Lonchura striata: one gene and its partner. The protein of the gene in region 1 interacts with the protein of each later gene in a biochemical or structural test. Links are inferred from orthologs where the notes say so. Each region holds a gene or a part of one and is shown in the gene's direction. Other genes may lie near its edges.

Evidence for each region. The genes of interacting proteins can lie anywhere in the genome.
Region 2: the proteins of TYRO3 (region 1) and GAS6 form a complex in vitro, tested with the Homo sapiens proteins (2 studies listed by BioGRID). The link is inferred for Lonchura striata from reciprocal best matches to the Homo sapiens genes TYRO3 and GAS6.

Annotation. Positions count from the first base shown.
Region 1 is NC_134608.1:37,106,368-37,110,114, reverse strand, and holds the start of TYRO3 (tyrosine-protein kinase receptor TYRO3), read left to right. Parts: upstream 1-860; 5' UTR 861-1,225; coding exon 1,226-1,313; intron 1,314-3,747. UniProt on the Homo sapiens protein: Receptor tyrosine kinase that transduces signals from the extracellular matrix into the cytoplasm by binding to several ligands including TULP1 or GAS6. Regulates many physiological processes including cell survival, migration and differentiation.
Region 2 is NC_134604.1:91,116,488-91,120,234, forward strand, and holds the start of GAS6 (growth arrest-specific protein 6), read left to right. Parts: upstream 1-1,470; 5' UTR 1,471-1,506; coding exon 1,507-1,576; intron 1,577-1,956; coding exon 1,957-2,123; intron 2,124-3,747. UniProt on the Homo sapiens protein: Ligand for tyrosine-protein kinase receptors AXL, TYRO3 and MER whose signaling is implicated in cell growth and survival, cell adhesion and cell migration.

The DNA of each region.
Region 1 (3,747 bases):
AGAGCTAAGAGCTGCATCGTGTTGTAATGATATTGCTCCTTATGTCACCTTTCAACCCAGATTCTCACCGTAACTCCTACGAAAAGGCAGTGCCAGATTTTTTTTAACAACTGTTCGTAAGTGACTTTATCCACGACGTTCTACTAACGCTGTGGCAGCAGAAATGTCCCTCCTAAACTCTCTCCCTACTTTTCCGCTAGCGGAAAAATGGTCAAGGCCGAGCCGATCCTGCTTGAAGGGCACGGGCGGATCTCCTCACCTTGCCGATGCTCCTTCACAGCTCAGCCGCCGGGATGGGGTGACCGACATCCCCCGAGCAGGAGGCCGAACGGTGAGGAGAGTGCGGCCGGAGCAAGGAGCTGGAGAGGGCCGGCCGAGGGAGATGGGGCTGGGGATGCTGCGTGCATGAGGCGGGGTTCTGCTCATCCCGGCAGAGCCTCGGCTTGGGGGGCTGAGTCCCGGTGGCGGCCCCAAGTCCGCCTCCCTTGGGGGGTTGGACGGTGCGCTGGGGCTCCAGAGGGGCCACATGTAAGTAGGGGGATGACCGGTGCCCCGGCAGCTCCCGCGGATGTGGGTCACCCGTTCCCGGCGCTCTGGAAACCAGGCCGCTCGGCGGAGCAGCCCTCGGGGGGCGCCGCCTCCACACACCTCCTCGACCGCTGCCGCTGCCGCCCCAACCCCGCCCCTCCCGCCCCGTCCCGCCCTCCCGGGGGCTCGGAGCCCCGGTCCCGTCCCGGGGCGGCGGAGCGGGGGCGGCGGGCGCCGTGATTCGCCGCTTCGGGGGCGGTGGGCGCCCGGCTCATGCATATTCATGATGTGATGTCAGAGGGGGAGCACAGCGCGCGGTGACCGCCCGAGAGCGCCATTTCCTGAAGGAGGCGGCGGCGGCTGGGCAGGGACGGACGGACGGACGGACGGAGCGACCCCGCAGAGTGGCGCCGCGGCGGCCAAGCCGGCAGGGGGAGATCGCCCAGCGGCGGCGACCGGACCGGAGCGGACCCGACCCGACCCGACCCCACCGACCCGCGCCGTCGCCCCGCAGCAGGTTCTCCTGAGGCTCGTCCCGGCCGGAGCCAGAAGTTTGAGCGTCCCCGTAGCCTCCCGGGCGAGCCCGGTATCGGGCGGCGACGCGGGGCTGCCGCTGTCGCCGCCGCCGCCGCCTGCACGGGCGGTGGGAGCCCCCCGCGGCGCCGGGAGCAGGGGGGAGGATGGTGGTGCGGGAGAGATGGAGCTGAAGCGGAGCATGGCGATCCCGCGGCTCCTCGTGCTGGGACTCTGGGCTGCGGCACTCCGGGACGTCGCTGCCGTGGCAGGTGAGCGGGGCTGACAGCCCGGTGGCGGCGGGGCACTGTCCCCCGAGACCCCGGGTGCGGCGGGAGGGGCTGCGGGGCTCGGCTGCCGCCGCCGGGCCGGGTGTCCCCGCGGGCAGCTCCCGCTCCGCCACCTCTACGAGTGCCGGCAGCCCGCTGAGGGTCGCCGGGCAGGAGCGGCCGGGGGCGCCCGGTCCGCCCGGTGCGGCGGCCGCGGGGCCTCGGGCAGCCACAGGTGGGGTCGGGCCGGCGCGTTTTGCCCCTCCCGGCCGGGCACGAGCGTCTCCGCCGCGTTCGTGGGGCCGGCGACGTGGCGCTCTGGAGCCGGCGGGGAAACCGAGCTGTGCGAGCCTCGCCTGCCTGCGAGTAGAGTAGCGAGTAATCCTCCCCGGGGTTCGCGGAGGCATTGCGCTGGTATGTGCCTAGCGCGGGCCGTCGCCGAGGAAAGCTGGGCGCTAACGCATTCCTGAGTGGCTTTTGTTGGGTTTTTTTCCCTCATGAACTCATTTTCCGAAGTTTCACCCTCCGGTCGGCAGGGAAAGGCAGCGTGCTGGAGTGTCTCGGCGCCCCGGCCAGCCTCCTCCCGACTTCAGCGGGAGTTTGGGCTCCGCGCTGTATGTGGAGCGATGTGCGGGCAGTGACACGGAACTGGGGAGGCTGTGGCACAGGCTGGATCGCTGGAGCAGTGTCCTAAGCAATCTGAGGAGGAAAAAACCTTTACCCTGGCATGCATGAGCAGACGTCTTCCTCTCTCTCCACTCCCAACATCACAAAAAACGTATTCTGTTCCTAGGAATTAAAATATTCAGAGGTAGCAAGTTTAAAAAACAAACAAACAAATGTGTCATATATTTTGACAACTAGTGTGTTCACTTGCTGTCAATTCAGACAATTGCTTGATAAGACTTTTAAAATACTTCTATTTCATATCTATACATTTCACAATCTGTAGCTCTTACAGGTAGGCTTGGCGGAGCCTATTTGGATTAAATTACTTTTTGCACAGTTGAATCAAGGATTGTCAGATGAGAAATAGTGAGTGGGAGAGTAAAATGAGGAATAGGTGGAAATTAAAATTCTTATTTGCCTCCTATGTGATTCTTCCTGATACCTGCAGGAAGAGATGCTGCAGCCAAAACTGCGCTATTGACCTATGAAGTTATTAAAAATACCTGATGTGTAATTCTTCATTTTGGTTGAAATTGATGGAGGGATTATACTTGGACAATATGTACAACTCTGACTGAACACTTGTACTGTATGTTAATTTCCTACATCTTTGATTCCTCTGCTAACTGAAAACCATATAGAATCTCTAACAATATTACCTTGTTTAATTTATGGCTAACTCTTTCAGCAGGGCAGTCTGAAGCACGCTGAGTAGTTTGATTTTCCATGAAGGCACCTGTAATGAAAATGTCTGTCAGTTTGTGCGCATGTAGCAGCCTGACTATAACAGTTTTCTGAAACACAGAGAGAGCTGCTATGAAGCTTTCATGTTGTATTCCAGTGCTGTGAGTGGTGAAAGGGAGGATGCTTTCTGGCATGCACTGGGACATGTAGTTTGTGTCACATTTGAGTTAAGTAATGCGAGGTTAGATCATCCTCACCCAAGGTGATCAAATCCTTAGCCCAGCAAATGAGCTATAGCAACTAAACTCAAATGATCAGCTTGCCCATTTTCCAGTGCTCTCCATGAATTTGTTAAATGAGTAACAGGAGATAGAAAGGCAAAAGACTGAGTGCCGGGAAACCAGCTGGGAAATCTCATTAAGGAAAGGAGTAAAGATGTTCTGCCTGTGTTCTGGGTTTTCTCCTAGACTACGGGTGCTCATTTGGGTGCAGGCTGCTGGTGGCAGAGCACTGGCTGGTCCCACAGTGCTTGCTCCCCTTCTTCCAGCTGTTACAACCATGCTGTGAGTTCCTTTGCTGCTCGTCTGCCCTGTGAGGTGGTGCCCTCATGGCTGTGGGAGGGTGGTGTTTTAGCAAGAAGGGAAGTGGCAGATCAGAAATCCATGTTGGATCACCGGTGAGGCTGTAACAGAGTTTGAGAGCAACAGGGCTTCTTACTAAGCAGTGCCTTCTGACTGGCTCTGTGAGTAGCAAGGCATCCTGTGAGAAGCTGACCAACCAGTGGACTGGGTGAAGTTGTAATGTATGGTGATACGTGGCCAGGCAAGAGTGATGGAGTAATTTTTTTTCTGTAGATGTGGAGTCCACTGCCAGGGCATAATACTGGACTAGGCTAGACCTGTTCTGGTCTGTCAGTCCTGTGTCACTGCATAGGAAATAGCCACTCTCCCTAACAAAACTAACTTTACATTTGTTTTCTACCTTCCTGCTTTCCCACGGTCTCCTTTGATCTTCTGGTTCCTCCTTTATATGCCTGTCTTTCTTAAATGTGCTTAGATAGTTGGCTTCCGTGTCTTCTCATGGT
Region 2 (3,747 bases), on another chromosome or scaffold:
TTAATCATTTTTGTTGGATTATTCTGATAGAGTTTGCAGCATACTAGGACAAGAAATGCATGTGGCCAAAGGACAGAAAAAAGCAACAGGGACTGGAAGGACTGCTCCTTTGAGCAATGCTAGCTCAAAGGGGTTTGGAAACAAGTAAAAGACCAAAGCTCCATAGTTCAGGAAAAAGGATTAAATCACATGAGGTCAATAAACTGGTGTGCTAAAAATAAATAGGGCATGATCATTCACTATTTCTTAGATGACAAAAATTCAAGTACCTTGTAAAATTTTTAAGCACTGGTTTTAAAACTAGTGAGAAAAAAAATCCTGTCTAGCCTTTGTGCAAATTTGAGACCTTCCCACCACTGCTGGAGGCCAGGTGTACCAACAGCTCAAAAAGCTATTTAATATAGAGAAGCGGTACATTTGTGGCTGTTAGGGTTGCAGTGGACACAGATTTCACCTGAGAGCTTTTCCTGTGCACCCAGGAGCTGAAAACGGAAAGAAAAGGCCACATAATGGTGGTTTATATGTTTTTATACCTCTTACATGTATCTCTACTATTGGCCATTGTCAGAAGTTACCAGCCTAGAGACAGTTGCTTTGAATGAGGCTGGCTCTTCTGTTTTCACCTACTTTACTTCAACTATATGTGATATGAATACATTGTTCACATTAGTTATATTTGCAGTAATTATTGTGGAGACACAAAGTCTGCATTAGATATACCTAAATAACAAAATAAAACTAGACAAGTTCTTTTTCCGAAACAAATTATGCCACTGAAGATTTCTTGAAGAATGTATAGACATGGTGTTACTGGAGCTATCCGTCATACTTACCCTTGGACAGAGCAGTACAGATAAGAAGGGTGGCTTTAAAGCAGTGGCAGTAGATAGCCTAAGAGCACCTCTGAGCTCTGACCCCACAGCTCTAGGTTACAGCTAACAGTGGAAGTGTCCCGTGGAACTACGGATGGACGAGGGACAGTAAAGCATGGCTTGCAACATATTGGTAACAAAAAGACAATCTCTTTTCTGGGGAGTTCATCCTAAAATACTAGAACAAATTGAAAATGCATTTCTGACGAAAACCTTTGTTGGTGCGTGGGGAGAACCCAAGTTTCTAATTTATGGCAGGATTGAGTTGGGTTTGGTGCCAGCTCCTGCCTTCCTACTGATGAGCCCCGGAGCTATTAAAGCGATGTGCCGGGAGGTGAGGGCGCAGTCTCCCCGCCCGCTCCCCGCGCCCCGCCGGCCGCCCATCGGCGCGGCTCCCGTGCCCGCCCCCGCCGCTCGGCACGGCCGCTCCCGGGCGGCCGGGCAGGTACCGGGGCCGCTCCGGGCGGCAGCTCCGCCGCGAGGGGTGTCCCTGAGCAGCGGCTCGGCGGTGCCGGGCGAGGATTGGGCAGGGCGGGCGAGCGGCTCCGCGGCTCCCTCGCCGCGTTCCCGCAGCAGCAGCGCGCTCGCCGCCCGCGCCGCTCCCGGCCCCGGCCCCGGCCGCCGCCGCATCGTGATGCCGCATCCCGCGGCGCCCCTCGGGGCCGTCCTGCTGCTCGTCCTGCTGGCGGCGGACTCCTCGCAGAGTGAGTACCGCGGGGGCTCGTCCCACCCGCGCACGCCGCCGAGCATCCCCCGCCGCCCTGCGTGTGTGCGAGCGCGGGCTGTGCCGGGGCGGGGTGGGGTGCGGGGGGATGCGCAGCTTCGCGGCTGCGGTGCGGGCGGCGGCGGGGTCAGGGGATGCTGGCGAGGGGCCGCGCTGAGGCCGCGGCCACCCACGGGCGGCACCTTGAGCAGGGAGAGCGCTCGGTGCCCCCGGAGGGGCGGTAAGTGTGCGGGGTGGGGGTAGGGGAATCCGGGGCGATCAGACGGGCTCAGCTGTTCACGGCTGCCTGTCCTTGCTCCTGCTCCTCTCCTCGTCCTGCTCCTGGCCTCCCCCGCGCCGTCCCGGCGCTCGGCTGCCCAGCCGTGCTGCTGCGCGCCCCGGAAGCTGCCCAGTTCCTGCGGCAGAGGCAGCGCCGAGCCTACCAGATCTTCGAGGAGACCAAGCAAGGGCACCTGGAGAGGGAGTGCGTGGAGGAGCACTGCAGCAAGGAGGAGGCCCGGGAGGTGTTTGAGAATGACCCGGAGACGGTAAGGACGCAGGGCCGCCGTGGAGATTTGGGGGGTGGGTGTCCGGCTCTGCGCTCCCACCCACCCATTATCCGCGGCTGGATGTCAGCTACCGGCACAGCTGGGAAAGGCATCTGGAGGAGGAGGACCCAGGGCCATTAGGTGAACGACTGGAAGACACACTCGTGCTCAGCCTGCACAAGGGCTGTGCCAGGGCTGTCCAGTCAGGAGCACCTCGGTGAGCGTGGTCCGAGTGAGCAGCCCAGCCTGGCGCCGGCTGGCGAGACTGTCACTGGAGGGTAGAGCGGTCCTGTTCGCCCATGGTCCAAATCCATGAAGCAAGACCAGTGCAACCTAATGACACAGCTTCTCTGTCTGGATACCTTGCCATCCCTGCTCTTCCCTCCAGCTTCCCATCCCAGAGGTATTTAAAATCCCCTCAGTGTTGCAGCATATGTCACAACTGAGGCTTCTCAGACGAATGTCCTAACCATTCTTAAATCCATGGGGGCCAATTCAGCTTGGTCAGCATCTTAGAATCAGTAGGTTCAGGACCTGTCACTACAACAGCAGGAGGGCACATATATGGAAATGTGGTTCTGCTTCTAACACTGTGGATTCACAGTTACAGACTGCACACTGTACATGGAGCTGTCTTTTCCAGTCTTACCAGGGTTGACTTTCACTTCAGTCCTCTCACTTTGAGCAGCATACGGATGCTTTACTAAGCTTGGCTTACTCCTCCAGTCATTTTACACCTCCTCTCAACAATGTTTTGGATAGGCTGTTCTCATTGCAAGGACTATCTGGCATCGATTTAGCAGTGGGAAGTGGATTTTCTTGGTGCTCAAACTGAAGCTCAGTTCTGCACAGCATGTTCCTGTTAATGGTATGATGCTCCAGGGAGAAGACAGGACAGAGGAGGAGAGAGAGAGAGTGAGCACATGTGTGTGTACACAGAGGCACAAACCACAGGCAAAGGAGGGACTCAGCAGAGATGTTTTATGCTTCAGTAAGGCAAGTCTTGACACGTTTGCTTCATTAGCAGCCTCAGCACTCGATAGACAGTGCAGTAGCTTGCTGTCACAAGACAGTAGTAAGTACAGCAAAAGCAAAGTGATGTGGTTTTGACAGTCTTTATTTTTGAGATTAATATGGAACACTTGCCCAGGCGGTGTTTAATGTTACACCTTTTATGTGAATGCATAGTCACTGTGTGTGGCAGTGTTTGCTTCTGCTCTGCAGAAACTGAGAGACTCCAGAATGTGGATAACTGTAATGGGGTGAGAGTGGCTGGCACAGCTACTGTATTTGTGTTGAGTAATGTAGCATTAAACTTGATAGAAATATTCACCACATAGCAGTGAGTACAGGGAAAACTATGATGAGTGTGATTTTATAGCCTTCTGGACCAAAGGTGATCTAAGGTCACTACTTTTACTAACTGGCTGCTGGCCAAGAGGGTAGCTAAAGGTGATGCATTGATAGATCACTTTAAGGGTAGGATAGTGTACAAATATGTCAGGAGTTTTAAACAGTATTTGGTACTGACTTCGTAAATTGTAAAGAATGCATGGTTCTCCTACTGAAATGACAATAGTGAAATAATTTTTGGTTTAAAATCTTTTCACATATAATATAAATT